4 linked regions of the Arabidopsis thaliana genome follow. The protein of the gene in region 2 interacts with the protein of the main gene of each other region in a pairwise test. Each region holds a gene or a part of one and is shown on either strand. Other genes may lie near its edges.

What was found.
Region 1: the proteins of AT3G02420 (region 2) and UTR2 interact in a protein complementation assay, tested with the Arabidopsis thaliana proteins (one large-scale study listed by BioGRID).
Region 3: the proteins of AT3G02420 (region 2) and TH8 interact in a protein complementation assay, tested with the Arabidopsis thaliana proteins (one large-scale study listed by BioGRID).
Region 4: the proteins of AT3G02420 (region 2) and AT2G01540 interact in a protein complementation assay, tested with the Arabidopsis thaliana proteins (one large-scale study listed by BioGRID).

The regions. Positions count from the first base shown.
Region 1 is NC_003075.7:12,057,254-12,065,683, reverse strand, and holds UTR2 (UDP-galactose transporter 2), read left to right. Parts: upstream 1-2,825; 5' UTR 2,826-3,197; coding exon 3,198-3,320; intron 3,321-3,681; coding exon 3,682-3,710; intron 3,711-3,791; coding exon 3,792-3,993; intron 3,994-4,083; coding exon 4,084-4,326; coding exon of another isoform or gene 4,327-4,349; intron 4,350-4,395; coding exon of another isoform or gene 4,396-4,423; coding exon 4,424-4,525; intron 4,526-4,608; coding exon 4,609-4,749; intron 4,750-4,945; coding exon 4,946-5,053; intron 5,054-5,101; coding exon of another isoform or gene 5,102-5,135; coding exon 5,136-5,366; coding exon of another isoform or gene 5,367-5,377; 3' UTR 5,378-5,500; downstream 5,501-8,430. Other genes in the region: AT4G23015 (uncharacterized protein), read right to left, coding at 5,102-5,377; AT4G23000 (Calcineurin-like metallo-phosphoesterase superfamily protein), read right to left, coding at 6,037-6,222, 6,301-6,449, 6,607-6,904, 7,179-7,280, 7,381-7,713, 7,954-8,153, 8,272-8,430.
Region 2 is NC_003074.8:494,048-503,234, reverse strand, and holds AT3G02420 (dihydroflavonol 4-reductase/flavanone protein), read left to right. Parts: upstream 1-4,270; 5' UTR 4,271-4,462; coding exon 4,463-4,639; exon of another isoform or gene 4,640-4,857; intron 4,858-5,001; coding exon 5,002-5,131; intron 5,132-5,216; coding exon 5,217-5,317; intron 5,318-5,617; coding exon 5,618-5,743; intron 5,744-5,836; coding exon 5,837-5,957; intron 5,958-6,041; coding exon 6,042-6,126; intron 6,127-6,235; coding exon 6,236-6,349; intron 6,350-6,481; coding exon 6,482-6,521; intron 6,522-6,903; coding exon 6,904-7,056; 3' UTR 7,057-7,351; downstream 7,352-9,187. Other genes in the region: AT3G02450 (cell division protein ftsH), read left to right, coding at 1-18, 160-359; TBL20 (TRICHOME BIREFRINGENCE-LIKE 20), read left to right, coding at 982-1,656, 1,769-2,250, 2,412-2,715; AT3G02430 (transmembrane protein, putative (DUF679)), read right to left, coding at 3,216-3,875; ICME-LIKE2 (alpha/beta-Hydrolases superfamily protein), read left to right, coding at 8,358-8,620, 8,857-8,933, 9,015-9,084, 9,158-9,187.
Region 3 is NC_003070.9:26,318,085-26,325,572, forward strand, and holds TH8 (thioredoxin H-type 8), read left to right. Parts: upstream 1-3,313; 5' UTR 3,314-3,455; coding exon 3,456-3,638; intron 3,639-4,331; coding exon 4,332-4,454; intron 4,455-4,569; coding exon 4,570-4,710; 3' UTR 4,711-4,918; downstream 4,919-7,488. Other genes in the region: NRT1.7 (nitrate transporter 1.7), read left to right, coding at 435-1,000, 1,122-2,013; AT1G69890 (actin cross-linking protein (DUF569)), read right to left, coding at 5,342-5,620, 5,883-6,443. UniProt on the Arabidopsis thaliana protein: Probable thiol-disulfide oxidoreductase that may be involved in the redox regulation of a number of cytosolic enzymes.
Region 4 is NC_003071.7:240,266-247,598, forward strand, and holds AT2G01540 (Calcium-dependent lipid-binding (CaLB domain) family protein), read right to left. Parts: upstream 3,385-7,333; 5' UTR 2,969-3,384; coding exon 2,855-2,968; intron 2,564-2,854; coding exon 2,468-2,563; intron 2,365-2,467; coding exon 2,032-2,364; 3' UTR 1,776-2,031; downstream 1-1,775. Other genes in the region: MLP329 (MLP-like protein 329), read left to right, coding at 1-84. UniProt on the Arabidopsis thaliana protein: Stimulates the GTPase/ATPase activities of Obg-like ATPases. Mediates the transient calcium-dependent interaction of PYR/PYL/RCAR abscisic acid (ABA) receptors with the plasma membrane and thus regulates ABA sensitivity.

The sequences.
Region 1 (8,430 bases), on a different chromosome or scaffold from region 2:
TAAACCGAATTCCCCTATGTAATAGAATTACGTACCAAATCATTGTTGCTGAGAGAGAGACGCTTGAACGCATGGAGACAATTTCGATATTTGAAAACTTGTTTACTAATATATTGTTAGATTTTAATAATTTGCATTTGTTGCACTAACCAAAAATTGCGACATATTACCTATAGTTTGTTTTTTTTGGGGGCAAATTACCTATAGGCTATATCACTGCATTTTGTAATCACACGTAGTCACATAGGACATATATATTGTATAGTTCTGTTTATTGTATACAAGAAAGTCATACTCGTGCTATGTTCAGTTATATGCCTTAATATTAATAAGCCAAATTTAACGATATAAATATAATTTACTAAGTTTTAGGACTTGTATATAAGTTGTACAGTAGTACTACTTGTTTAAAATTATACGTATAAGTGTATAATTTTTTTTTCTTTTCTTTTAAAAATTTAGTTTTATAATATTTTAAAAATATTCCTAGCAAAGAAAGAATAATTCATATATGCTGACTATCACGTCTAGTTGTAGTAGTAGCTACACAAATACTTGAATTTGAATTAATAAGTATATAGATAAATTGTACAAGTATCACCTATTATAAGTTTGCCAACCCTGTTTTGCGCATGATAATACGGCAGTAACAGTGTCCATAATCAATAATAACACAAAATCTTATTAAAAATTCGTATTTTATTTAGAAGAAAAAAACTAATTCATCTATGAAAATTAGAAGGAGACGTAACCGCTAACTAGTGTAACTGGACCTGCCTTCGGTGTTTGGTAAGATTCCGGTACTCTGTACAAAATGGCTGAAGCTAAGGCCCACACTATTTGACCGTACGTCACTGGATTGTTTCTCTAACGACTTTGATTCTTTTACTCGCTTGAGTTTGAATGTAAATGTCTGATTTTTTTTTAACAAAAAAGAATAAAATATATATCTACATAAATCTATAGTTTTCTAGCAATAATATTGTTGTCAATTTGTGAAATGTGATGGGTTGCTTGCATATGCAAAAGTCTCTCGATCGAAGTCTTCCGTTTATTATGAACCACACAAATGGTTTTAAGCAAGAAAAATATCTACGAGTAAGATCAATTTTGTTATGTGTAGAGATTATCATTTGTAACTTTATGTATTAATACAATTGCACGTAAAGCTTGACCTTCTAATAGAAATAAATTTGATAGGAAAAAATCTCTAATACCAATTGCAATTTTTTTGTTGTTGTAATATTGCAGTAAGCTCTCTCATTTAAGCCTTTGAACAAAAAATAAAATAAATATCAGATTTATTGTTGAGTTTCGCGTTGGTATTTCAAGAAAAGAATATGGTCTTTGGCTTTTGACCAAAAAAAAAAAAAGAATATGGTCTTTGGCTCTTTGCGACGCCTATATGCATATATGATATTTGTATGACTATAGACTCATAGTTAATTTATTTTCTATTCCATTTTAACTTATCAGTGTCACTAATCAAAGCTATTATTAAACGGTCTATTTTAAAACAAACCATTTTGTCTATATGCTATTTCATATACGACGATTATAATCGCTTCTTTAGAACTAATAGCCAATAATAATGTATATTTCGACTGTTCACCATACACCGCCACCTAATTCTTCTAAAACATTTCAATTCATTGACTAAATATCGTCATTATTTTGCTTACACATTTTGTATATGTTCCTCCAAATTTGTTCACTAGAGTTTTCAACTAGAACAAAACAACTACTCTGTTGGTGAAAGAATGAATATGCATGTGTGAAGTTTATTGCTCAATATGGATATAGAAGATGAAAAGAAAAAGAGTAAATTGATTTCTTTACCAAAACGTGTCCAGATGTTATGTCAATATGTAATTCTGACATGACCAGAACTTCTGTAACGCATTTAACAATCACTTCCGAAAATAACAAAAACAAAATTCAGGAAAGATGATGAAATTGTAAAAGACAGACTGTAATGGCGTCTATTGAGACAATGACTCAATCTGTCTTAAACCGGAAAGTTGACTCGTAAGCCATATTGATTATCTTTATTAAATTTTCCTTTTTATTCTCTTATTCTCTCGAAGTAGTAACTTTCTTTTGCATCAAATAAAGAAAATATGAAAACGCACCCCTAAAGTTTATCTTATTTTTTTTATTAGTGCCTCTAGTTTTCTAATGTGTAGAGTCAGTGACACACTTTCTTTTTACTTTATATCAAGATTTGATGATATCATATGATTTTAGACTTCTAATTAAGGTTTTTGTAAAAATTGTCACACTACTTTTTTGAATTCTTTCACTTTTTTTAACAAATGTTATTTAGAAAACATAGTCAATATACAGATCCTAAATGTAGATAAAAATTTACAATTTTGACTAGCAAGATCTGATTTGATATGTTTCTTATATATCAATTTTTACCCTTATTTGTTCCATTTTACTTTGATACTTTTTTTTATAGACAAATTTAGATAATTTTATTTGATAAGTCATAGCATTTATTTTTCTTATTTTTATACCAAAATTTATTATAAATACATTTTTCAAACAACACATATACAACACAAACTGTCATTAAAACCCAAATTTTATATATATATATATACCAAGCTGGTAATAATATGATATGATCGTAATTAGCAAACATGAGATCATGCAATAAAAGACTTAAGACAAAAAAATGTGCCACGCTGGTAATGCAAATTTTGTCGTGGTGTGTAGATAAACAAAAGTTTCAGACTTAAATCAAACATACATAAACGTTAAGGGTCTTACTTGCAAATTTGAGTTTTACCGGTAAAAAAAAGAGTAACAGGAAACGTAAAAAGAAGAAGAAGAACGCTCAATGGAGAAAAAACGTGTCCCGAAGTGGCAAATCACGCGACGAGTCTCTTCTTCTTCTTCTTCTTCATGCGTTTTCTCCTTCCTTCTTAAAAGCTCTCTTCTTCCTCCTCCTCTTTTACCAATACATCTATTAACTCTCTCTTCCCTCTTCATCAAGTTTCTCGAGGAGAGTGAAGAATTTGGTTTTAATTATTCTTTGATTACCCTTTTTGTGGTGTGGTTTTCGTTATTTCGAGGAGTGATAATAATACCGTTATGAGTCATCACTTTACATGTGTTTGATCAATTACTCTTAATTCACTTTCTGGGTTTCTTCCTTTGAATCTCTCCTCAAAGAAAAGAAAAGAAAAATGAAGGAGGAACAAACAAGATCTCTGTTTGGAATCTCTTTGTCTGATAAACCAACTTGGCAACAGTTTCTCATTTGCACTTCTGGTTTCTTTTTTGGTTATCTCGTTAACGGTGTTTGCGAGGTTCGTTTCTCTCTTTTTTGCAATTTGATTCGAGAATTTTGATACATAATCAATCAACGTTAATGTTTTTGTTTGTTCTTTGTCATAATTCCACATACCCAGCTCCTGAATCTCGTAAATTTATAATTTTTTTGCATTTTCAATCTCTTGCATGCTAAGTGTTTGATGTTTTGTTTCTGAGAGAAAAAAAAACAGAGGAAGAAGAAAAAATTGCATGACGAACTAAACTCTCTCCAAACTTGTGAGAGATCACAAAAAATCTGTGATCTTTGTAAAGAAAACAGATTTTAGAGAATGTGATTGGATCTACAAGTACTCATATATGATCATTGACTTGATTTATTTTTCTTTGGTTTTGCAGGAATATGTTTATAATCGTCTTCAATTTAGGTAAAAGTCAACTTTTGATTACTCTTTTAAGTTTTAGATTTGAACAAAAGTTAACAATGGGATTTTGCTCTGTCTTTGTAGCTTTGGGTGGTATTTCACGTTTATACAAGGATTTGTCTACTTGTTTCTAATCTACCTTCAAGGCTTTACCACAAAGCATATAGTTAATCCGATGAGAACTTATGTCAAACTCTCTGCTGTTCTCATGGGTTCACATGGTTTAACCAAAGGATCTTTGGCTTATCTCAATTATCCAGCTCAAATCATGTTCAAATCCACCAAGGTAATAGATCCACATTTCCCAATTACAGTCTCAATGAGTTTAAATTGAGTTTAAAGAATGATCGGAATGACCATCTTTCGGATGTTTTAGGTGTTACCGGTGATGATAATGGGAGCGTTTATACCCGGTCTTAGAAGAAAATACCCAGTCCATGAATACATTTCAGCGTTCTTGCTTGTTCTTGGTTTGATCCTATTCACATTAGCCGATGCGCAAATGTCTCCAAATTTCAGTATGATTGGGATTATGATGATAACCGGTGCATTGATCATGGATGCTTTCTTGGGTAATCTGCAAGAAGCTATCTTCACAATGAATCCTGAGACAACTCAGGCAAGGAAACTAAAGAAAACACGGTTCTTTCGGTTTTCCTTTACCGGTCTGTTTTGTTTCGTTTCTGAGATTAACTCTTGTTATGTGTGTTGTGCAGATGGAGATGCTTTTCTGCTCAACAGTTGTTGGATTACCGTTCTTGTTCGTTCCCATGGTTTTAACCGGAGAGGTTTTTCGTGCGTGGACTGCGTGTGCACAAGTAAGTAAACAACCTCTGTTCTCTTTTTTCTGGTTTGACTTTTGGTCAACCTTTAACCAAACCAAGTTAACCTTATGAGATAGTCGTCCATTTTAAGTGAAAGTGACAAAGAGTGGAACCTTTTATTTGGCTTTGAAAGTACTTCTATAGATTTGACTCGGTTTATGATTCAAACCGGAGTTGGACTCAGTTTAGAGAAAAAGTCAAAATTTGTAGGATTCTTGGTACCACGAAATGAGAGAGATCATTGACCGACGACGTGCCTCTGAATCTGCCAAACTTTTTAAAAGCCAAATTGTCTCTTTTAAATTCATTGATTCCATAACTTAAGTACCAACGTGGAATATTTTATAGTCAAACGGTTTAATGATTCATTGGTTGACATATTTAAAACCAATTGTGCTTTGTTTATATTTGCAGCATCCGTATGTGTATGGAGTGCTTGTATTTGAAGCCATGGCCACATTTATCGGTCAAGTCTCCGTTCTCTCGCTTATTGCTCTCTTTGGAGCCGCCACAACTGCCTTGGTAAATATCTAATCTTATCTTTGAATACTCATTTGTATTTTAATTGACTCAATGGTCTAAAATCACATTTCGTTGTGTGTAGATAACAACGGCTAGGAAAGGGGTTACATTGTTGCTGTCGTATTTGATATTCACAAAGCCGTTAACGGAACAGCACGGATCAGGCTTGCTGTTGATAGCAATGGGGATTGTATTGAAGATGGTTCCAATGGATAGTAAAGCTCCGGCCAAGATTCCGGCGAGACCAGCGGTTAGGATCGCAGGAGGCGATGGTGATAGAGAAGAGGACGAAGAAAGGAAGTCATTGGTTTGAGAATGTGCCATGTATTTATATATATTTTATCTCACAAATTCAAAGGGTTTATAGAATAATGTTGGATGAAGGAGACACAAAATAGAGTTAAAGTTGTGTCAGAGACTTGTTATTAGATTCTAAAGTGAAATTGCAAAAGATTGAGCTGTTAAATTGTTAACTATGATATGAATTATTTTTGTCATCACTCTCAGAAGAAAGCATTATTCGTCTCAAAGCCTATTCATAAAGCGGGAAACGCTAATGACTACATTCTAAACGACAGGATCAGTGAAGAACCTGATTCTATCTAAGATCCTCCAGTTTCTTTCTCTGATCTATGAATAACAAACTTATCGACAATCTTTACGGTGTTGACAGGATCCTGCTGCAATGTTGTTGCACACCATTTGCTTGGAAACCTTCTGTGATGACTCATTTTCACAGTCGATCTCGGCTCTGCATCCCAGTCCTTGTCCAGCTTCCATTCCTTTGGCACCTGTACTCATTCATCACATACACTCCTCTGTTTAATTCTATAATCACAAACTTTTTCTTTTGTCATTTCGAGAGTTGTTTTTCTCACCTTGTCTACTCCGAGAGTGAAGACTTCAAGGTCTCCATCAGGTTTGATGTTGGAAACGGGTGAATGATTTGTTAATTGGCGATCCGAAGTGAAGAAAATGCTTCATCAAAGTGTATGTGAAGCCAGTTGATGGATATATATAAGTAACTTCCAAAAACCAAAGATACAACAGGGGTTGAGAAGAACCCAAAAGTAGAGGAACACAGAAGCATAATAGATGGCTTGCTCCGCTTCGAGAAAGTGACTCCCATTCCTTTCTCGACAGATGTTAGTCCGTGTAACCGCCATCACCTATGTCAAATACTTTACTTTCGGCTGAAAAATAGTTTTCTATTTCAGCTAAAACGAAGGCTAAGTTGACGATTTTACCTCGGGAATATCAAATGCTGACATAAGATACTTGATGCAGGCAGGATATAATCCGAACGTCCACTGCTCAATACGGTCTCGGAGGCCAGTAGGGTCCGGAAAATGTTCATTTTCTACTGATTTGTACCACTGATACAATGTATGATACCCTGTGTAGCAAAAAGTTTGAAAATCTCAAAATCCATTAAGGTTTGATCACAGATACAAAAAAATATCAATTAAAGTAGGATCACATATTTTTTGTCCACTTGTGTCAATGACATTGTAATGAGGAAAGCCACAACATTCTATGGAAAGGAAACTGACCGGAGTTTGCAAGGAGCTTATGCTGAATACAGATTTCTATGCCGAGTTCCAACAGCAACATAAGAATCAAAGCAGCCATCAGGTGTGCAGAAACATGAAGAATTCCAATTAACAGTCGTTTCCTCCGAGATATTTTTGAGGGAACAAACATAATTGCAGTTATTAGCAACATAAGAACCCCGGTGAAAGACACATATGACTGCTCTGTTACATACACAAAGGAGCTCCAAACTGTGCCAAAGAAACTCCCCAAGTGGCCAGAAAATGAATCGCCTCGTAAGATATGGCCTAGCTCACACTGAAACCAACAAGGAATGAAGATAAAAACTTTCTCGTGAGTGCAAGTGAGCATAAAAATTTCTTCGCACAGGAAAAACACTACTACAGATATGCAAGGCCTGTCTCAGTTTGACCATTTAATAGTGGATGCTGACAATGTGTACCATTTTAACAAAAAAGTCTTAATGACCAAGTCAGGCTGCATTGCTGAGAAAATAAATATAAAATGGAGAAACAAGAAACAGTTCATATGAAAAAGAGTTTGATAAAGTCAAAGATGTGTAAAACCGCACCTGAGGGAACAAGGAAAAGACCAAGAGAAAGTATATGATGCCACCAATGAAATCAAATTGCCAGTTCTTTTTCCTGAACTTTAAAATATTTCCCAGAGCAATCTGCAAATAACAGCAAACAACATAAAATATCAGAATGCAAAGAAAAGAAGGCGAATCAGTAACCGTGGATAAGAGGTTCAAGAAACAAGAAAAAGTTTACCCTGCTTGAATCTTCAAATGAAGGATAGGCAGATTTACTTTCATAAGAAGCACCATAAAACTTTGAAAAGCAGCGGAACACATGGGTGGGATGCAAAAAAGCCCCTCCACAGCCATTAACAAGGAGATGTGGGACATGAACAGGTCCATCTGATTGAGTACATGAATGACGCATATAATGATGCAAATCTCCTGCCATTCTAAGTTTACACCTTCCTTTCAAAAATTCGAATATCAGGTGTCGCATGTTCTTTCCAGTATCGTCTTTCCAATACCAATCAAGAAGCCAGTTCGGCTCATGTGTGATAATGATCACTGCATCATTCTCCCCAACCTAAATGAAAAGATAAAAACATTGATCAAAGCAACAAAATTAGAATTCAATAGTATCAAACAGAAGACACCAACTCTAATATTGTCGTTTCACAAACCAAAGAAAAACCCAAAACCAATATCACAGAACATCATAAGTTGTGAACAAAAGAAGAAAAGAGCTCGAGTTGATGGGAATATATTTTGTATAGCATCCGCAAAGTCTATTTAGCCTGAGAAAGAAAGATGATGTTGAATCTACCTTCTCCTTCACTAATTTAGAAAAGAAATTGAACTGGTACACATCAATATCACCATGAAGCGCTAGATCCAAACCAAACACCCACCATCCTTTAGGTAGCTGCAGGGCAAAATAGCTTTTCTTTTGGGGCATAAACCAGCCACCCAACCAGCTTTTATGGCATACATACCTCATGAAAGTATTTAGTCCATCGAACCAGTCTAAAAAGTTCAGTAATAACATTACAATTAGAAGCAATACCAAGACACACCAAGTATGCATGTAATTATGTGAAACATATCACTAGAAAGAGAAATGAAGTTTAAAGCTGAAACCCACCATGGTTTCCTGGGATAAGAAAACATTGAGGACCGTCATAATGCTTTAGATCAGACACCCCATCAGGTAATTCAGGCTTGTTAACAGAAATTGAGTCCGTTTTATACCAATGGGGAGGTTGGAGCGCATATTCAAAAGGACAAAATAGACGTTTTTCAT
Region 2 (9,187 bases):
TGCTTGCTGCTCGTAGAGGTCAGTCTTTAAGTGATCTTTTAACAGCCCTTTCTTGATTTAAGTAGTTATTCGATCTGGTTGCTTCCCAGGTTTGATCTTTTGGGATGAAGCTGCGGTTTTTGGCTTAACAGACACTAGCGATTTCTTGATTGTTTTCAGGCGGAGAAGCGGTGGCACGGGAAGATATAATGGAAGCTATAGAGAGAGCGAAGTTCGGGATCAATGATAAGGAAGCGAGGCCAAGGACGTTAGGAAATGAACTCAGCAAGATGTTCCCATGGATGCCATCTTTGGCTAGAAGAAACGGACCAGATCAAGACGGTTTACAAGGACCGTTAGGTTATCAAACTCTCAGCTAAACCAAACCAAGACAGACCGGTTAGAGAGCAAATCCATTGATACCAAGTTTCTTTGTATCTGAAATTTTTGGAAATGTACGTTTTTTTGTGTGTTTACATTGCAAAGTCAATTGCTTTTTGGTTCGTAGTACCTTCCAATTTGACAAATCTCTTAGATATATTATTAACCTAAATTGCTCTTTTAAAACGATCTTCTTATACTTAAAGAGAAGTAATCCTAAGCCATTCGACATATTTGGTATCTAATTAAAGGCATACACTTTGAAATATAATATCTAAAATCTCGAATAAATGCTAAACAAAATTTCTAAAATATATGATCTACAGTATAATCCTAACTACAAACTACTACACAATATCCTTATCTGCCTTAAAATCGTGTATATCAATCAGAAAGATATGATAGTTAACCTATCTAATATTTTATAACATTCTACTTCACTATATATATATATATATATATATATATCAAACGACTCATTCGTTTTTTTTTTTTAGCAATGTCCCAATCAATTGGTAACCTTGTTTGATGCTAATCCAATAATCGAAATTCTTCCAAACATCTCTCTCATCCATTGAACATAAAACAGAAATCCCAAAACTATTCTTTTTCTGTTTTTAAATGATACTTTCTCGGAAGAAGGAGATGGAACTTCCTGCGACAAAGTTACGAATAGGACTAGTGATATTTCCTCTTATTCTACTTACGATAGCTCCAATCCTTTATCTCTTTTTTGGTTATCCTCTCTATTATTCAACATCAACATACAAACATTTATCGAATTCATCATCGTCGTCGGCAATATCTTCTCCATCTAGGTATAACCATTCATCATCATCATCAGATAGTTATAAGACAGAAGATTCAGAACCATCGTCGTATGATAATGATTACGACGACACATATCATGATCCCAAGTCATCATCTTTGCATAACAATGATCGTCTATCCATCTCATCATCGAATGGTCATCATCAAGTAACTCCTAAGAAAGAGCACCGCCGGAAAAAGAGAAAACGTAAATGCGATATATTCTCCGGCGAGTGGATCCCAAACCCTAAAGCCCCGTACTACACAAACACGACATGCAGGGCGATACACGAACACCAAAACTGCATCAAGTATGGAAGACCTGATTTAGGTTTCATGAAATGGAGATGGAAACCTAAAGAATGTGATCTCCCTCTGTTTGATCCTTACGAGTTTCTGGAAATAGTTAGAGGAACAAGAATGGCGTTCGTTGGTGACTCCGTTAGCAGAAACCACGTTCAGTCTTTGATCTGCCTACTCTCTCGGGTACCAATTCTCTCAATGCTTATCCAACTTTTTTATTTATTTTATGACAATACTTACTCGTTTAATACATTACTTGATGCAAAAGTAACCTTGGTTTAGATATTAATTTCAGGTGGAACATCCTGAGGGTGACTCACAACAGGAGTTTAATTTCCAACGATGGAAATACAAAACGTACAACTTCACGATCGCCACATTTTGGACAACACATTTGGTTCGCGCTGAAGAAACGGAAACCGGTCCGACAGGTCCTAATTCATTCTACAATCTCTACCTCGACGAACCTGACCCTACTTGGGCTTCCCAAATCGGTGAGTTCGATTACATAATCATCTCATCTGGACAATGGTTTTTCCGACCACTCTTCCTTTTCGACAAACAAAAAAGGATAGGATGTTTGTATTGCTACATTCCCGGAGTCAGAAATGTCGGGGCACATTTCGCGTATAGAAGAGCATTGAGAACAACATTCAAGACAATTCTTGGATTAGAGAATTTTAAAGGAGAAGTGTTTCTGAGGACATTTGCTCCTTCACATTTCGAAGGTGGAGAATGGGACAAAGGTGGAAATTGCTTGAAAACGCGACCATATAGGTATACATTGTTCATCCGACATTTTCTAAAATATTAGTTTCTTCTAGAATACTTTAATATTATGAGTTTTGTGTTTTTTTTGTTGTTGTTTGAGTTTTCATTCGTCACATCCTAATAGAAACGTCTATATATTCCTTTGGGTTTCTTTTGTGTTTATATAGGAGCAATGAGACAGAGTTAGATGGTATGAATCTAGAGACACACAGCATTCAACTCGATGAATTTCGCATTGCAAACAGAGACAAAAACAGAAATGACGGATTAAATTTGAGATTACTAGATGTCACACAGATGATGTTGTTAAGACCAGATGGACATCCGAGCAGATTCGGACATAAACGAGAAGATAAAGTTATCTTGTATAATGATTGTGTACATTGGTGTTTGCCAGGTCCAATTGATTCATGGAACGATTTTTTACTAGACATGTTGAAAAATAGAGATTTAAAGAGATTAAAATACTAGTACGTAGAATCTAAATTTTCTCAGTTAAACCCTTTTTGTTCATTTGTAATTATATACGAGTATGTTTGGTTACGATGTGGTATTTAGAAAGATCTCTTCCCTTTTTGGCACGGTTTTCATAATCAGATATAAGCTTTTAAGTAATTTCAGATCTTAATTAACACATTGAATATTTAATGATATGGATCTAATATAAGTTTATGGTACAAATGAAGTAAAATAGTCAACGTTTTCCAAGTAACATGTCAACCGTACATACATTAATGTATTTTACATCAAAAAGTCCATGCAATGATTTTAGAATTCAAATAAATAAAGTCTATTTGAATTAGGAAAATTATATATATTTGACACAAAATTAAAATTTATTAGTTTAATAAAAAGAATAATGGTCATAACGTATATATACAAATTATACAACTTTACAAACAAGAAAACAAACGAAAATAGTCAACCCACCATGCAAACGCTACCGTTTCTAAATTGGTTTTAATTATAAATCATCGGCGATCTACGCTACCGGTAACAAGATATCCAATTCCGTGGCGTCTCGCCGGAAAAACCATAAACAAAAGGCTACACATAACCCCAACACCCACCGGAACAATGTCCAAGACATGTTTCGTCTCTGCCTCCGGCGACGGATAAAAGCAATCAGTTATATACTTGTCTCTCAACGCAACCGCTCCAAACACTAAAACCGACAACGTAGCGTGGATCCAATCAACGAACCGCATCCGATATTTGGCTAAATCGGGTAAACCTAACCCGGACGGGTCAGGATAGTCAACGACCCACATGCCTTTGAACGTTACGAAACCGAAGTAGATAGTTCCATCGTCGGCTTTAACGCTATCGGTAAAGGAGCTGACGAAGCAAGACGCGGCTAAGAGGAAAAGGAGAACGGCGGTTAGGAAACGCGTTGCGTGGTCGCAAACGCCGTTTGAAGTGAAAACCGGCGTTAGGAGTTGAAACGCGAGGAGTGTTCCCGTTGGGAGTAGGTTTGAGAGATTGGCTGCTGACGTCAGGGTGTTTGACATGGCTCGCTGAGACATTGACATCTGTCTCTTGAGCACCCGGGATTCTGACGGTGTCTGATCGGATAACTCGTCGAGCTCCGGAGCCGGAGTGTTTGCGTTTCTTAGCCGAAGGGCAGACATCTTTTTAGTTTTGATTCTTTTCAGGTTTCGATCGTTGGATTGATATTGGTGAAGATAATGATGATGATGTTTTTTTATAGATGCTACGATATAGAAACAGCTAATGATAACTTAGTTTACGCATAGTGGACTGTCTGTATTTAAGTAATCTCTCTGTTCAGTTAACTTGTACGATAAACAACATTATACACGACAAATAATACAAGACTTTTTAAAGCTTTTAACAAGATAGAACATAATGCTGAAAACAGTGATTGAGCTAGATATAACTGTGTCATATTCTGCTTGTTCTTCGCACGCTAGTCCTTCTCTGTTCTCACGATTTAGGGTTTCTTTCCCAATGCTCTGTTTTGTTCATTTTCTTTCTTTGGATAAATTGCATACAAACCCTCAAAGTTTCCAGTCTTTTGCAAAGTTGTAGTTATTTTTATATTAAATATCATAAACAACTGATTGCCAAAACGTCGTCGCTCTTGCAAAAGTCCACAGATACTAGTAGTAAGTAAAGTATAGGAAAAGTGGACCAAAGAAACAAAACCCATACAAAAAAAGTCGAATCCAAATCTCTCTCTCCGGCGATCTCATCCATGGCGGAAGGCGGCGAAGATTCCCAGCGGTTGAAGAAAATTGCGGCGGCTGCCTTCGACTACGAAAACGACGCTCGATGGGCCGATTACTGGTCCAATATCCTCATCCCTCCTCACATGGCTTCTCGTCCCGAGGTCGTCGACCATTTCAAGCGCAAATTCTACCAACGCTACATCGTACTTACTACTATCTTCCCTACTCTTGAATTTGCTTATCCATTTTCTTCATTACTTTGAGTTTCGAGTTTGACTTTGTGTTGTGTGCGCTACTGATTTGGGGATTTAGTGTGGACTTTGAATCTTAGGTTTTACAAGTGTGGTTGTTGATGTTCTTTCTGCTAAATTGCTTAGTCCTTGGGTCCGAATCTCCTCGTGATTAGGTTATTAAGCGGAGGGTAGGGCTTTTCATTGAATATTCGTTAGGTCCTGTTTATAATATGTGAAGCCTTCGTGTTGTTCATCTTTGCTCTTCCCTATGAAGATGTAATCTGGATTTGTTTCTAAATCTAGGGTGCTTGCCATGTCCTTCTTTTTTGCAGGATCCTGATCTTGTTGTGGAGCCTATGTCGACTTCATCTTCGTCTTCACAATCTGCCAGGCCAACTGCTACATCTGCATCTTCAACTGCATCTTCTAATGCAAATGAACAAGTTCGTTCACGGAACTCAGGTCAACTTTCTTTGTCTGATATATTCTTGAACTCAAATGAGCTTTTCTTATTACTACCAAAAACTTACCTAATTGTGTGCCTCAGGATCGGTTCCTCGAACCTCTGGGCCATCTGCTACGACTGGTGCAACCCCAAGTTCAATGCGCTGGGATGAGCAGACGATTCAGTTTTCAGTCAATGCTTGGGTAAGATAAAGTTTTTCAGTTGCAGTTTCTTCCTCTTATTGCACAAGTTTAATAAAAAGATCTAGCTCTTGTTAGCCCTGTGAGTTGGGATTGTTGTTGCAATCTGCTGTTCACTCCTTAACTTCACGGACAGTAATGAGATGGTGCATAGTGTATTGTCTGTCTTTATGTTCTCCTGTCTTGCTGAATCTTTGTTGTGTACTTAGACATGAACTAGATGTGACAAATGCTTTTTTGTCTGGAATGCTTCACGTAACTTATCTCCCGTTTCATGTCTCTAAATCCATTACATTTTTGCAGGTTTTTGTTATAGCTGTGCTGGCAGTGCTACCTCTAATACCAAAGAACCTCTCAAATAGGGCTTATCGTCTATCTTTCATGGGAACTGCATGCTCATCTCTATATTCCTTATACTCCTTATACGGGGTACGCCATGTGAATTTCATGTTTTCTTTCTCTCTAGTGATCATGCAATGCGAAATTTTTGTTACTTATGAATTGTAATTTTATAATCTGCAGAGGCCAAGGGCATGGAATATGCAAGGGCTGCAAGTTTATTTTCAATCAATTGTGGCAGCAAAGGATTTCATCTACTTCATCTACTGCCTTACATTCGTCACTTCACATCTCTGTCTCAAGTGTAAGAATTTATTGAAAACTCTTTTGTGAATGTCTTCAAATCACGTACATTCTTATGACTAGTCTCATTATCAATCTGTTGCAGTTGCTTTGATTCCCATCTTGTGCCGGGCACTTGAACAAGTAGCCAAGTTCTTGAGGCGTAACTTTGGTCGGTCCACTATATACAGGTAGGTGCATCGAGCTGATTAGCAGGTTTGAATGTAGTAGTAGGTTCCATGTGTGGATTCTTACTGATGCTTATGTTGTACATGTGTCTTGTTCTGTAATGGTTATCAGAAAGTACTTGGAAGACCCTTGTGTGTGGGTGGAGTCAAACACTACTACCCTCAACATCTTGTCATCGCAGGCTGAGATAGCCATTGGCTTCCTTCTGATTATCTCTCTGCTCTCGTAAGCTCTTTGAACCTGTTAGAAGCGATAATAGTTTATTTTCGCACTTAAGTTTATATTCTCACTAAGTTCCCAGCTTTGCATTAGCTGGTTTCACTTATCTGAACAAAATTGTCATTTTACTTACTGCAGATGGCAACGTAACATTATACAGACGTTCATGTACTGGCAGGTACGTATCATCTTTTGGTTGTAGTCATCAGTTCTTTGTGATGGCTCAACATTCCCAAGTAGAACCCCTGTTTTCTTTGTTTAATTTGATCCAAGTGAACATATAGGAAGAATCATTTCCGTAATAACACCTTTTTTGTTGCTTTGATGATCTTCTGTCACTGAAAGTGTTACATGGGCTAAGACCATCAGGATAGTAATGAGAACTGTGTTTTGTTTTTTTTTGGTTAAAAATCTTGTGTTCTTGTTATAAAATCTGTCAAGTTCAAAAACCTTTTCCTCATATTCTTCCTAAAACAAAGATCTACTAGGTTGTTTGCAGGATTGTTGGTTGGATCTTGAGAGTTGTTCTCATGAACTGAGTTTTGTTATTTTGGTGGCAGCTATTGAAGCTGATGTATCAAGCACCGGTAACAGCTGGTTACCACCAGAGCACGTGGAGCAGAATAGGGAGGACGGTGACTCCGATTATCCAACGTTACGCTCCTTTCTTGAATACTCCGGTCAGTGCCGTTCAGAGATGGTGGTTCAGGTGATAAAAAGAAACAAAATGCAGAGGTGACTTTTGAAACCCTTTTGAAAAACCAGAAGATTGATTAAATAGCTTTCAACAATCCATGTTAATTTCATATTCAGCGTAAAGTAGATTCTTCTTCTCTTTTAACGTTTTCCTTTGGCTATCGCTGAAATAAAAATCTCTTATTACTTTTGGTTTCTAGTTTAGTTATATGTGACTAATTGCCTTTCCAGTTTCCACCTTGCCATTTTCATTGGTGAGATACTTCAAAAGTTTCTAAAAAAATAATAATAATAATATTTTATTATGATTTAGTTTCTGTCCAATTATAAACACATACATATACATATAGTCTCTCAATCATTACTCTAAAATTTCTCTGCATAAAAACAATTCTCAATCTCTCTCTTATCTCTCTCATACTTTATTATTATTTTATATTTTTTAGTCAATAAAAAATTATGTGAGAAATTACCGATGAAAATGTTCTAAATTTTATAATATCTGATTCCATGAGTGATTGTAGAACTTTTGCTCAAAAATAAAAATCATCTAAAATATCATCTGGCCCTAGAAAATCGGTTTCATTGTGTAAAATTATTATATATTGAAAGGGTGATTATTTAAAGAAATTATAGTTGATTGGTTGTGAGTCGTTTACACATGTGGATGAGTGTTTTTGTTCGAAAAAAGGAAATCTAAAATAATGTACATTGGGGGGGGGAGAGGAGTATTATTTAGATAAACCAAATTTGGGAATAAGGTATCTTAATCATTGATTCATATTCCCTTCATTGGTGCGCGTGCCACCGCTTAAATCACCGAACACGTTCCCAAAGTCTAGTACCAGCAAGCAATACCACGTGGCGTCTATGCACAACTATACGAAATACGAGTGTCGAGACATCAAACCACCAATAGCGTATTGTGTTCGAACGCAATTCTAATCACAATTTAATATATGGAGCGGGACCCTTTAAACTGCTGTTTAATACACAAAATAAGAAAAAGAACTCTTCAAAGTACGTAATCACTACTAGATTAAAGAAACCAAATCAGAATACTGTAACTTATTCACATTAATAATACTCATTAGGAAGGAAAAAAATTGGTAGAGAAGAGGACCGGAATACGACGTCGTTTTGACATTCCTCTGTGAAAAAGAGAGAGAGCCGCACATGAGTGAAAGCTTTTCAAATATTTGAAAATTGAAACAAAAAAAACAAGAACCGATCAATTATAAAAGCACAAGACACGAATAGGAGGAGGAGGATACAAAATTCGAGATCCAATCTTTCTCCGACTACTTTCACGGCGGAGATGCAGTTGTCTCCGGAACGATGCCGTCCGATGTCTGAAAACAGAGAGGCTTGGTCAGCGAATTCCGAGGAAATGGAGCTGCTTCACGGCTCCAACAGATTATCTTCACCGGAACATGTTCGTAGAAGAGTCTCCGGGAATTCTTCTGAGGACGGTTCGCCTCGAATTTGCCGGCAGCAGTCGTTCGGTCGCGACATAGGCCATGCAGCTGCCGAGACGTATCTCATTACTCGACTTAGCTTCAACCTTCTTGGATATCTCGGGTAAATTTCATTCCTCTCATGGCATCGTTTATTTGTTTTTAGCCGAGACGTATCTCATGTCCTGTTTCTAGAGCTCACAATTAGTCTTCTCGATGAATTATTCTTACCACAGTTTTATGATAACTAAATGAGTTTTCCGGTAATTAATAATCTTAGGACATGTGATGATGTTTCAATTTTTTTGTCGGAATCTCTGTAAGGAAAGTTTTGTTTTATTGTTGTAAGTTTTTGTTCAGGGTAGGTTACCGGTGGATCACAAGATTACTTGCTCTTGCTTGTTATGCAATGCTCCTTATGCCTGGTTTCCTTCAAGGTTACCCCATCTTCTTTGCTCTGTCTTATTAACAAGCTGTTTTTTGTACACTAACAAAGCTTTTGCTATTTCCTTGTGCAGTTGCATATCTTTATTTTTTCTCATCTCAAGTCAGGAGGAGTATAGTTTATGGAGGTCATCCAAGGAATAGGTATCTCAGTCTCTGCAATCTTGCCTTCTTCAATGATTGGTATTTAGTACATTTTATTCGATTATTCTGGCAGGCTGGATTTGTACATACCGCCAACGAGTGA
Region 3 (7,488 bases), on a different chromosome or scaffold from region 2:
TCTAGTGTCTGTTTCATTCACAATTATAGAATTATGATCGCATCCAACTTGTTAATTTCTCTTGCACTTTTTTGTCTTTTTCGTAATTAGTTAAACGTTGAACTTAAACTGTTACAAATGCTCATATTACTATATTAGGGTTACAACAGAAATAAATGATATTAGGTTCTACGTCACTGTCACTTTCACCTAATCAAGGTAACATCACTTTTCAATCATATGAAGTCAAACCTAATTAAGACTATTGTAAACTTTATTAATTGTTTGTATTTGTTCGCATAACTTCAATCTATATATCCCACACTACTGTTTGCTTTCTTCAATATTAATTAACAATCATTCAGTTTCAAGTTATATATTATAGAATATCTAATAATGAAGAATCGGTTTCAAAATTAATAATGACTGATTATAATTACATTGACAACATGCAGGGACTAATAACAATTACACTCACAGCATCGTTTCCTCAACTCCACCCAGCATCATGCAACAGCCAGGACCCACTCAGTTGCGGCGGTCCGAATAAGCTCCAGATCGGAGTTTTGCTATTGGGACTCTGTTTCCTCTCCGTAGGGAGTGGAGGAATACGACCTTGTAGCATCCCTTTTGGGGTTGATCAGTTTGACCAACGAACTGAGGAAGGGGTTAAAGGAGTGGCCAGTTTCTTCAACTGGTATTACATGACTTTCACTGTGGTTCTGATCATTACACAGACCGTAGTTGTGTATATCCAGGATCAAGTCAGTTGGATTATCGGTTTTAGTATCCCTACCGGACTCATGGCTCTTGCGGTTGTTATGTTTTTTGCCGGAATGAAGCGTTATGTCTACGTTAAACCAGAAGGAAGTATATTCTCTGGGATCGCTCAAGTTATCGTGGCAGCTCGTAAGAAGCGAAAGCTGAAACTTCCGGCGGAAGATGACGGCACTGTCACCTATTACGACCCAGCCATCAAGTCTAGCGTGTTATCCAAGTTACACCGCAGTAACCAATTCAGGTACTTAATATATGATTTTTGTTTTTATTTTTTGCTTATCACTTTCAAGGTGGTTTTAAGACAACACTGATTACATGATTTTGTATTAACCTATAGTCTAACTGAAATGGCATAAAATTAGGTGTCTTGACAAAGCCGCGGTGGTTATAGAAGGTGACCTAACACCCGAGGGACCTCCCGCAGACAAGTGGCGGTTATGCAGCGTCCAAGAAGTGGAAGAAGTGAAGTGTTTGATCCGAATTGTTCCTATCTGGTCGGCCGGAATAATCTCACTCGCGGCCATGACAACACAAGGCACTTTCACGGTCTCTCAAGCTTTGAAAATGGATCGAAACTTAGGTCCTAAATTCGAGATTCCGGCTGGTTCACTCTCCGTCATCTCTCTCCTCACAATCGGCATCTTTCTTCCCTTCTACGACCGCGTTTTTGTACCATTCATGCGGCGAATCACCGGCCATAAATCCGGAATCACACTCCTCCAAAGGATAGGAACAGGGATCGTTTTCGCGATCTTTTCTATGATCGTTGCGGGCATTGTGGAGCGTATGAGACGCATACGCTCCATCAATGCCGGAGATCCAACGGGAATGACTCCAATGTCGGTGTTTTGGCTTTCGCCGCAGCTAATTCTCATGGGACTATGTGAAGCATTCAATATCATCGGACAAATTGAGTTCTTCAACAGTCAGTTTCCAGAGCACATGAGAAGTATCGCTAACTCTCTCTTCTCTTTATCGTTCGCCGGTTCGAGCTACCTTAGTAGTTTCCTTGTGACTGTCGTTCATAAATTCTCCGGTGGGCATGATCGTCCGGATTGGCTAAACAAGAATCTCAACGCGGGAAAATTGGATTACTTCTATTATCTGATTGCGGTTTTGGGTGTGGTTAATCTGGTTTACTTTTGGTATTGTGCTCGGGGATACCGGTACAAGGTCGGTTTACCGATTGAAGACTTTGAGGAGGACAAGTCCTCCGATGATGTTGAGATGACTTCGAAGAAATCGATGAAATGATTTAATAGACTATCCTTAGGGACAACAAGAAGATTGTCGATGTTGTTTGAATAATTACTATGACAATGTATGTATCATAATATGTAAGAACTAGAATATTTAATAAAATTTTACCTTTCATTATGTAGAAGTGTTAGATATAGTTCACAGTTTTGTCTTATTTTATAACTTTGTCATCATACTCTCTGCCTGGAATCAGAAAACCATCTCTAACAAGTATATTTAAAATCATAAAAGTAATCTAGTTAGATGGATTGCATTTGGAACTATATCATATACACTATGTTATGACTTGATAGAAATATAAACAGTATAGTTTTAATTGATCATTTCTATGGAGGATCACGTTATTAGGCATAGTTTCATCCTTTATCGATTACGGACGGTAAATGAGTACAACCCAACTAATATGTTGTAAAGAAAAGCTACTACTGCTATTACTGTTAATATTAATATTAGACTTCTTGGGTACATAAAAAAAAAAAAAATATATATATATATATATATCATATTAGACTTCTAGAACACCAAGTCCAAAACATATTTGGCATGAAGCAAAAATATCTACTGCTTTATTTTGTGTCTACCTCTTTGCCACATGCTGTATATTCCATCATTCATTTAACCTACAATTGAATTCCGTTTTAACGTTTATTCACTCAATTAATATATTGGGGTTTGACAAAAATAAATAACTAGTATATAGGTTTGTATGCTTTTTTACTGTTAGCTAATAAATAGAAAATCCAAAAGAAGCTTTCATACAAAATCAACTAAATTAAAATGAAAAGTTATAAGGGAATCATATATTGTGAAAGATTTGGAATCCTTTTTTCACGGCTGTAAAAGGGTCAAACACTTCTGCTGCCACCATTGTTGTCTCTCTTGCGAGTCTAAAAAGTAACTCACACTAACGAAAAAAAAAAAGATAGAAGAGAGATAGCTGTGGATATCACGTTGAACTTAAAATTTAGGTTGCATAATCAGTGGATGGATAAATAAATAGAAATAAATTATATCCTAAACTTAAAACAAACAATATAATAAAACGTTTTATACAATTCCAGATTTATTCAATATATTGGATATGACTCATGCGATAGATATAGCGTAAGACAGCTATTTAGAATTCCAATTATAACTTTATAGTTTTCACGAACTGATTCTAGACAACTTGATTTTTAATTTGGACTTTAAGATTACTAAAGTAGGTTTACATGCAACTTTCCGCTTACTTCATATGATAGTTTTGCGCTACAACTTAGAGCCAATAGAAAATGTAGTGTTAAAATTGGTTACGAATTACGGCTACTTGGTCCACCAGAGAATATTTGACGTTATATATAAAAGCCAACTCTTCCGCTCTCCTTGTGCTCAAACTAAGAGCTTCTACTCAAAACCATTTGCTTCTTTCTGCTTAGAGAGAGAGAGAGACACACTCAATGGGTGCTAACGTTTCTACTCCAGACCAGAGATTTCAGGTAACCCACTTCCGTTCAACGAAGCCATGGACACCTCGACCTGAGATTTATCCTTTCAAAGTCAACAGTCCTTGTATTGTGGAGATCAAGAACATGAATCAGTGGAAATCTAGGCTCAACGCTCTTAAAGACACCAACAAGCTGGTAATATATTGACTAATGCGATCTATAATCTAAGTTAAGCCATTTTTGCTTTAGATTCTATTTTTAAAATTTTAGAAAAGTATTCGAACTAGGGTTCTTATAACCAGATTCGAGACATTTATAACATAACAATAATGCATTAACTTATATGAACTTCCAACTCAATCTAAATGGTAAATAAGTAGTTTGGTCCATATTCATCATATTCCAGATCTCAGTTTAAAGATGAGGTGAGATTTTGAACACAACTCACAAGATAATGACTCTTCTGGCTCATCTAAAAAAAAACTCGCTCTAAAGTCGAATCATATCCCTTTTGGATCATTCTATCGAGTCAAAGTTAGGCTATTATAGTTGGCTGCAAATGGTTACATATTTCAGTGAAACAAAAATCCTCTCAAATTTTACAGTTTGGGATTCAAAAAAAGAAGAGTGAAATAAATTATGCATCCCATTCAACGTTAGTTGGATGAGCAAATCAGAGAAAAATGAGATAAACCAGTTGAAAATTATCACTCGCAAGTTATTCAACCAATTACTCTTTTTATCTTATTATTTTGAGGGACAACCATATTACTCTAGGTTTCTTCTTATTTTCGAGTTGAAACTCCTAGCACAATGCAACTAACCTTGCTCTTAGGCTTAATTTGAAAATATCATAATGAACATTCACTTTTCATGTTTTTTATATAGCTGGTGATCGAGTTCACAGCTAAATGGTGTGGACCATGTAAAACCCTTGAACCAAAGCTCGAAGAGTTGGCTGCTAAATACACCGATGTTGAGTTCGTGAAGATTGATGTCGATGTCTTAATGGTAATAAATAATCATTCTCCTTTTCTTCATCTTTTTTCTCAAAGTCTAAAGAAAAGGTTTCAACAAAATTTGTGTTTGCTTTTGAGTTATAAAATAGTGTTTGGTTGATATACAGAGCGTGTGGATGGAGTTCAACCTTAGCACTTTACCTGCGATTGTATTCATGAAAAGAGGCCGAGAAGTAGACATGGTTGTGGGTGTGAAGGTTGATGAGTTAGAGAGGAAACTCAATAAATACACACAATCCTTCTTCTGAACGTTGAATTCCTAACACGCCAAACAAAACTCCTCATCACCTTACGCCAAGAATATATAGTTTACTACTATGTATAGATAAAATGTTTGAACGACGATTCAACAAAATAAAACTTGTTTGTGTTGTAAAGGAATTGGATGTTGGATTTGCTATGTACGTGTCTCATGTAATATAAAATATATGATCAGCGATTTGTATCGTTTTTTCTATCTTTCATATGATTTTTTGAAATAAGTCAATAGCTCTTTAGTAGAAGAACAATTTAGTAACACATTTTATCAAAGTGGGAGAGTTGGTGAAGACTTGCGCAATGATTGGGTTACACTTTAATATTTAAAAAAAAAAAAAAAACTTTTATAGTACAAACAATTTTTTATGGCGAATTCACATAAAAAATGGGAGGACGAAACTTAAATGCTTCGTTTACAAAATAAGCTTATGTACAATAAAATGAAAGATTAAATCAAATCCACAATAATAGTCTATCTGAACTTTCTATGATTAATTCCACACTCGTATCTAATGGAGGCAACTAGGCAAGGACCAAACTCTCAATCTTGAGCCTAATACTTCAACTACTAGTCTACTTATATAATACATTCGAAATAAAGGGGAACCACACAGCTTGCCGTTAAGTACTTGAGGGTACTAGAATGACATGCATTGTTCCACTATTAGGTGGAAGTTGCAAACGAAGAGGAAACAGCTTGCCGTTTGAAGGATGGCGTGTACAGACCACAACATCATCCATACTAGTCTCTTCTTGCAACGCCTGCGTCAACTGTTCCACGCTATTTCCTTTGAAAGTCAACGCATATCCAACGGCTGATTCTTCCTCCACGTGTCCTTCTTCGTCCGCGATGTGGTAGTAAATAGGCCTCCCTTCAGATTTCGGTGGCGGCACGGTCAACTAGTCAAACCAAAACCAAGAAAATGTTAAGACGATAATCTTGACAAAATCTGATAGATATTTTCGTAATACAGTTTACTAAAATCTTTGGATATTCTATAAATATCTAAAGAAACAATATTTTAATACCATCCCTTCACTAGTTTTTTCAGATATTTAGAATTTTGGATATTATTTTCAGTTTTTATTTCCGCAGATAAATGTTAAAAAAAGAAAGTGAAACAGTGTAACGGATAATTTTCCTAGTCGAATTAATTAATACCTCTTCTTCGGATTTTTCTGAAGATGTTCTAGAAACCGGAGAATACGTGTACGACGGCCTCCTATGTGGCGGAGGAGTTGTCACCGGAGCTGGAGCTGGAGCCGGAGTCGTCGTTCCCACCAAAATCTCAACCACATCAACATCCCACAAGAAAGAATCCAATACATGAGAAGTGTCATGCGTGACAGAGTTACGCCATGGAGGAAGTCCACCGTTGGCTCGAAGCAAGTTTCCGTATCTAGTCTTGAGCTTCATTTTGGAACCTTCTCTCACCGGTTCCCACTCTACGGAGGAGTCGAGTCGAGCCGGTTTAGACAAGACCACTTTACGTCCAGTGGCTCCGAGCAAGAACCGCTCATTCGAAGCGGTGAGGTAGTTACCGTAGCAGCTCCTTAAACGGATCACTTCAAAGGAACCACGAACCGGCTCGACAATCCATCTAGCTCTCTTGTCGGAACCATTCCTGTCTTGAGTCACCGTTTCCTCGTCCTCATCCGCTGTTAGATACTTATCATGGACGTTACGCATCCTTACGGCTTTAGCTTGATTGAAAAAATCCATCTTCTAATACTATGCGAATACTATTTCTTTCTTGTTGAAGCTTAAGAAGTGTCTTTTTTTGCACAAGACGAATTAATGTGGAATGCAATGTTTGGTGTTGTATTTATTATAGGAGACTTAAGTCCAAAGCGGTGCGCCGTGACGTGGACATTTTCTCAGTCGTTTATTTTGAATTCATCCAAGTATTATATGATATAGCCATGTGATGAAACGATCTTAGCCACTAGCCATGGAAAAGTCGTGCTTAATTGACGTGTTTCACCAAATTTTGTTTTTCCACGTCAGCATCCATATAGATTATCATTATCTGTAATAATCCCGTTGTAACCGAGAGAAAAGAAGAGTATCATCAATTAAGGTCTCCTTTTAATTCTCATCGCTTGTTGTAAATAAATGAAACGTACGATGTTTGTTATTTTATATAGAGAAAAGTTATTATCCAAAAGAATATAGGTGAATAAATGAAGAATAAAGTTAAATGTATTTGCCCGTAAGAAACAACAAGCGATCATGAGAGTCACGAGTGTGGGACTCTTCTTAAGGCTTAACTCTTAAGCCATGCCCATGCATGCCCCCATGACAAAGATATCGTAACTAATACCAACTTTTGCCAGTGATACGTTACTCTTACTTGCGTATAGGGTAATTGTCACGGGCTGGACAAGTTGCGTTTGAGCCCAATCCACTTTTTTTTAACACAATCTGCTTTGCGACAGCTTTCTTTCGTCTTTTATTTTATTTCTGAAGATCTTGATTTTGGTCAATTAACCAAGAAAAATTACAGGAAATCGAATCGGATGTTTCAAATTAGTTTGCCTATGGTTTAACGTAATATATATGCAACTTCATTAGCAAACTCAAATAAGCGGTCCAAAATTTACACACACTAATTTAAAAAAAAAATATCAACTCGAATGGCGTTACTTGATCTTGATGTTTACATATGAAAAAATGAAAACGAAATCATTTGCATAGACTGCCTAAATTCATATACTAACTAAAATAGCCTAACATAACAATTGAATAGCCATACATTAGCTAACTA
Region 4 (7,333 bases), on a different chromosome or scaffold from region 2:
GATGATTCGCCTGAGCCTAGCAACTACATGAAGTTCCTCAAAAGCGTTGTTGCTGACATGGACGAGCATGTTCTCAAAGCCTAAATCCCTTTCGAACCATCGTCATCACCTATCATCATCATCATCATCATCATCATACATCTCCCTTTGTGTGTGTACTTGTATGGGTGTTTGAATCTTTCATTTGCGTAGTACAAAATCATTTTTAAATAAATTATGGTTTGAGTATACAGATGTTACAATGGGCCTGGGCTAAGCAGATATCTCAAATTATCCAAATGTTTTTCTTGATCATGCCATTGAAATGGTCATCAAGAAAACACACTTAATTGCTTATACATATATCGAAATAACTACAAAATTACAAATCATTCACAATAGAAAGGATAAAATAGTTCACTAAGTGACAAAAAATTTAAACGTCAGTCATACCCAAAATTTAGTCGTAACCGTATTTCAGAGAGTACCCGAACCGTTTTCAAAAAAGAGTAAATAATATTGCATATGAAAAAATTATAACATATTTTTATCTTATTAAAAGCAATAAAAAAAGCTCGATGATACGTAAAGTTTTGCGTCTATCTTATTATATAAAGTATGGTTTTCAAAGTTGCTAATTCATAGAATTTTGCCACGTGTCAAGTCAAACAATCAGATGTTTATATGTGTCATTCCAAATTTTACTTTTTTATTCTCTAAAAAAATAAAAAATCTTAAAAAGTAAACAAATTTACATATACTAATTTATATGTCTATATATTTATAAACAATTTACATTTATTCAACAAAAGGAAAATTAACAAATTTGTCTTTAACTCATGTAATCATAAGTGAAAAATAAAACGATCAGATGTTTACATGTGTCATTCCAAATTTTACTTTTTTATTCTCTAAAAAAATAGAAAATCTTAAAAAGTAAACAAATTTACATATACTAATTTATATGTCTATATATTTATAAACAATTTACATTTATTCAACAAAAAGAAAATTAACAAATTTGTCTTTAACTCATGTAATCATAAGTGAAAAATAAAACATTTTGAGAAAAATAGCTTAGCTTATAGGATTTAACTTTTCATTTATTTTTATTTATTAATTTTAACTCATTTAATATTAATTTGCATGATGTAAAATTAACTTACAAGATTACGACATATATACAAAATATATTTTCAACAATGTTTGGTTTCTAAATATTTTTGTGGATTTCTTTTTTTATTATTAATTATTAGCCCTAAGCGTTTGGGTATTCGGATCGGGTATTTCGGGTTTGGATTTTTGGGTTTAGAAGTTTAGGACCCGTTAAGGTAATTTAAGATTTTAGGTCGGGTTCGGGTTCGAGTTTATTTATATATTGAAATATCAAATTTTGTGTGCAAATCTATTAAATTACTTGAAAATTTCAAAAATTCCCAAAACAACACGAGTAGTTTTGCTTGAATATATCTAAAAATACACAAAATAACTAAAATATCAAAAACATCCTAATATTTTCTATATATAAGTATAAATATAACTAATATATACTTATATTTGAGATATGTTTGAATACCTATTCGGGTTCGGGTTCAAGTTTTTCGGGTTTTGAAGTTTAGACCCGTTCGAGTATTTGAAAATTTTGGGTACACCCGCCTAAATAGGCGGGCCTTATCTAGTTCTTAAATATATTGTAGTTATTAAATAACCATAAAGCATATTTAACCGTAATCGTTGTAACCATAACTGTATTCAACTGTAATCTTAACCGATGGTTAATAAACACCGTGGTCATGCCTACGCCTACGTCATAGAAGAGAATGCAAATTGCAAAAGACAAAACAAAATCAAAACAGAAAGTGAGAAATCAAAAAGATATTCAAATGAAAACATACAAAAGAAAGTCTCAAATTTTCCAGCTTTTCTTCTTGATTATGCCATTGAAAATGGTCATCAAGAAAACATACTTGAGTTGCTTATACATATGGAAACAACAACAACAGATTGATACACAACAACAAAAAAAGAAAGAAAGAAAGAACAATAATAAGTTTAGGTAGAGGAAGAGCCTCCACCTTTGGAAGAGGAAGTGATACCTCTGCAACCAGCACCTTCATGCCATTCAAGCATGATCTCAATCTCGCCACATTCGACATTGTTAAGTCTAAGGATCAAGTCTTGTGTGATCTTACCATTGTTCCAAACAATGCTACTCTCATCAGATAAACAATTGTGCCTTGATGGTTGAACCCTTTTGATAGCACACCCATTAGGTAGCCTCAAAAGCTCCATCCCCATTTTCAAAGCCTCTAAGTATGGTTGAATGTCTATGTTCGCATCTCCCATTTTGTCATCTCCTGTGAACTTGTCCCAATCAAACACTGTCTGAACGATTTCAACAAAAAAACAACAATGTTATCCCCAAGAACAGAACAAAACAAGATTTGTCTTTTGTCTGAATCAAAAGAGAGAATCTTTTTAAGTTTACCAAGCGGATTGGGACATTAGGATCTTTGATAGCAACAGTCATTTCTTCATTCCATACTGGGTTACAATTTTTTTTCACCACACGTGTCTTCAATGTCTGAAAGATTTCATTTTTGGTTTTGTATTAGACAAAACAAAACAGAGGATTTGAAGAAAACCCAAAGCAGAGGAAATAAAACAGAGGATTTGAAGAAAACCCAAAGCAGAGGAAATAAAAACAGAGGATTTGATAAAAAAAACCAAAGCAGAGGAGATAAAACAGAGGATTTGAAGAAAACCCAAATCCTGAATCTATATGAACAATTCAGGAACAGAGAAGAATCGTTATTCGGAGACTTGATTCATATAAGGCAATTTGTTCTCTATCGATTTCAAGGAGAAATGGAACCTGATCGGCGACGTTGAGAACGATGTAAGGATCGCTGCTACGATGGTCGCGAATGGCGAGATTAATCCCTCTCTTGACGTGGATCGTGAGCAATCCAAGAGGCTTTTGATCCATTTGAGAAGAAAGACTTTTTGACTAGGTCCGGTGCTGGAGATGGTAAAGGAGGAAGAAGAAAATTTTAAGAAGAATTTGGAGATGATGCTGAAGATGAATTGGTGCTTGTAATCTCGTCCCCAACTATTCAACACGTTCTCGTTCCCAATTGCTCTTAATTTTTCTTTTATAAAAAAGTTTAGCGAATTATAGTATCATTTTTTCAAATGATTGGGTAACTTGTTGTTCTTAAAATTTATTTATTCACACTAATCAAAAATGATTAGGAGTTTAGGACACGAGACTAATCTAATAATCGACTCGAGAGATAAAACAATAGTCATGGACTGAACAAAAGAAATATCTCGTCACAATGGGCTCGACGACTCCCTTTATAGATAGGAGACTAATCTAATATGGGTCTACTTTTGAACGTCAGTGAAGTATTACTACCAACTTGTAATAAAATCACAATAATGGGCTTGAGTACTTGATTAACAGGCCCATTTAAAAGATTTTACGTTTAAGAATCTTTCAAATTTAACAAACAAAGAGATTATTGCATGGAGAGACGGTTTTGGTGCTTGTAATTTTTTTTCTTTTTTTTAATAAAATGTTAAATTATACTCAAAAGAAAAAATGTCGGTTGTACAACGAGTGCATCATGGTGTTTAAGAGACTAAGCGTAGAGCTAAACTTTACAAGTTAACTACTAGATTTTAACCAAAACTGAAAGCCTTGGTCATATCTTCTATCACCCATAAGTTTGATTGCTGAAAGTTGATCACGTATTTGCTTATCTATCCATCGAACAAGTTGAGCTGCTTGATTCGGGTTGCGCCCATGCTTCCTCCTATTGCGCTCACGCCATATTGCATAGACTGAAACTTGAAAGATATACCGTGCGATAAAACTTTCTACTCGATCTTTCCAGTTTTCTTGAATCTTTGTGAGTAGGTGTCGCCAATCCGTAGAGTAGCTTGACTTGTAGATGCTTTTTGCTGACATTTCCCAAACTTCTGAGCTAAAGCTGCAAGAGAAAAATAAATGATCTCTTGATTCAGTTGCATTTCTGCAGAGAAGACATGTCCCCTGCAAACCTCTGTTCCAAAGAAGCATTTTATCTCCTGTGGAGAGCCTATCATAAACTGCAAGCCAAACACAAAAAGAAAACTTCGGTGTTGAGTGAGTGAACCAGACCCCCTTGTGCCAAGGGACCTCGATGCCCATTGTTCTGGTATTGTTCCACGTTTCCTTCGTCGAGAAACAATGGCGGTAGTCATCATTTTTGCCTTTCCAAAGAGTAACGTCATCATTTCCATTTCTACGTTGTCGTGTGAGTTCAAGAGCCTCCTCCATCTGATTGAGAACATTATCCCTGTGTCGTCTTTGACGTCTACCATTCCATGCCTCCTCAAGAGTCATCTTTCTACTGATCCCCATATCTATTGTCCCTCTATCTCCAGCAATTTCAACCAGCCTGCCCAAGGTAGACCAGTCATCATACCAGAAAAAAGTGTTGCGGCCAGTGTTTACTTCTTTTTTGCAAAACTGCTTCGCCATATCCTTGAACTTGATAAGTTTTCACCACATCCATGAACCTTTGCTTGTCGATTCTTTGATAGACCAAAAACTTTCCGTGTTTAAAAGATAAGTCTCAACCCATTTTACCCACAAAGAATCTCCTCGAGAGAGTATCCTCCATATCAGCTTTAAACAACTCACATCATTCGCCTCCTTTATAGACCTTAAACCGAGTCCACCTTCTTTCTTCGGCTTACAAACATCGTCCCAAGCTACCTTAGCTTTGTGAGAATTTAAATCCGGACCAGACCAGAGGAAAGTAGAACATAACTTATCGATTTCTCTGATACATTTTCGCGGGAGCCGGAACGCAGCAAGCCAAAAGTTACAAATGCTCCATAGGACCGAGCTTATCAAGTTTAAGCGACCGGCGTAAGAAAGAAATCTAGCTGTCCATGACCCAATCTTCTTTTTAAGCTGTTCTATGAGAGGTAAGTAATCTGCAGCGGTTAGGCATTTGGTTACTAGAGGGAGTCCCAAATACCTCACCGGTAGAGTCCCTACATCAAAACTGAACCGGTCTTTGATCCATTGGTGAGACACTTCTGAAGTTCCCGCTAGATATATGGTTGTCTTCTCCATACTAATTTTTAAACCTGAACTTTTAGCAAAAACGTCAAAAACTTTCACAATACCCTCTATAGATCAAACTTTTCCGTCCGAAAGGATCATGAGATCATCAGCAAAGCTCAAGTGGGACAGACCAATACTTTTACACCGCGGGTGGTAGCCAATTTGCTTTGCTTCTGTTGCTTGATCAAGCATTTTTGATAGAACATCCATGCTTATAACAAATAGATAAGGGGAAAGAGAGCAACCCTGACGTAGACCTCTTGAACTTTGAAAATAGCCTGCCAATTCTCCATTGACTTGCACCGAAAAAGAAGCCGTAGTAACACAAAGCATAACCCAATGAACAAACTCCGGTGGAAAGTCCAAAGCCGACAAAACGTTTTTAAGAAATGACCACTGAACAGAATCAAAAGCCTTTGAAATGTCGATTTTAATAGCACATCGACCCGAAATTGTGTCCTTGTGATAGTCCTTTACTAACTCTGTGGCTAATAGCAGATTCTCAATTAGGAGCCGGTCTTTTACAAATGCAGATTGGTTTCCCGCGATGAAATTCGGGAGAACATGTTTCAATCTATTTGCAATGATTTTTGAGATGACTTTGTAAATGACGTTGCAGCACGATATCGGTCGATAGTCTTTCATTTCTTTCGCCTCCAGTTTCTTTGGGATGAGAGCTAGAATGGTAGTATTAACACCCTTTGGTAGAAAACCCTTTTCAAAAAACGATTTGACTGCCAAAACAAATTCCGCACCAATTATATCCCATGCCCGCTTGTAGAATTCAGAAGTGTAACCGTCTGGACCCGGAGATTTATCATTTGGCATTGAGAATAAGGCTCCCCTTATCTCTTTTGCTGAAACTGATGCAGTGAGCATATCCTTTTCCGCTGGGGAACAATGATAAGGCAATAGAGATGTTAATTTCTCCACTGTTATTCCCTCATAATCATTCGGGATTAGCTGAAGAAATTCTTGAAAAAACCTTTCAGTCTCGTTCTTGATATCATCTTTAGTTGTGGCAGTACTACCATCTTCCTTCTGAATTTCGCGAATAGAGTTTTGAGCTGCTCTAGCGGTTGCTGCGCGATGGAAAGTTTTGTTGTTTTTATCCCCAACCTTTAACCAATGAAGCTTTGATACCTGCTTAAGATACTTCTCTTCAATGCTAGCTATCCTGTCCCAACGAACATAAGCTTCCGATTCTATTTCCATGGCTCTTTGAGATGGATTTTGTGAATTACTCTGTTGCGCCTGACAAAGACTGAGATAGGCTTCTCTCGTCCTTTTCACCAAATTTCCCATTTTTTCCTTCGCCAAGCCTCGAAGTTTTGGTTTAAGAGCCTTGAGCTTCTTAGTGAACCGGAACAGGGACGACGTGGACATGTGTATAGGCTCTGTTTCTCTCCAAAAATTTTCCACCAAAGGTTTAAACTCCTCCATATCGGCCACAGCATTCACAAACTTAAAAGGCTTATTTCCTCTCACTTGTGCACCAGAGTTCATATTTAAATTGATACGACACCGTAAATGGTCAGAACACCCTCCCGCTTCAAAAACATTATAAGATTGTGGGTAGACCATCTTCCAAGCCTCATTCACCATAACTCTATCCAGTTTTTTCCAAATTGGGTCATTATCTCTCTTATTGCACCAAGTAAAAAGGGGCCCGTGAGATGCCAAGTCTGAGAATGAGCAGTAGTTCACCAAAGACTGAAAATCTCGCATACCGGAGGTAACTGCTGGGTGATCTTCCATTCGAGAGTGCTCATCCATATCCAAAATCTCATTAAAATCTCCAAAAATTATCCATGGTTTATCACGAATGATCGGAGAGTCCATATGGTCTCGAAGATCATTCCACAAAATCTTTCGTTCCTCTGCAAAGTTTGAAGCATATACAAAAGAGTAGAAAAATTCTTCTTCTTGGCTTTCTAGTTTCACCGAACAAGTTATCAACTGGTCACTCTTGTAAAACGGAGTAAACCTTACATTCTCCCTCCACACTACCCAAAGACGACCTCTTCTATTAAACTCATAGTTAGTTAGCATGGACCAATCCTTGAACAACTTAGAACCCAACCACTGTGAATTTTCCTCCTTAACTCTCGTCTCAATGAGACAACCAAACTGAAAATTCTGCTCGTCCACCCATTTCTGAATTACGGAATGTTTATTTGATTTGTTGAGGCCGCGAACATTCCAAAAGAAACCCGACATTAATGATGT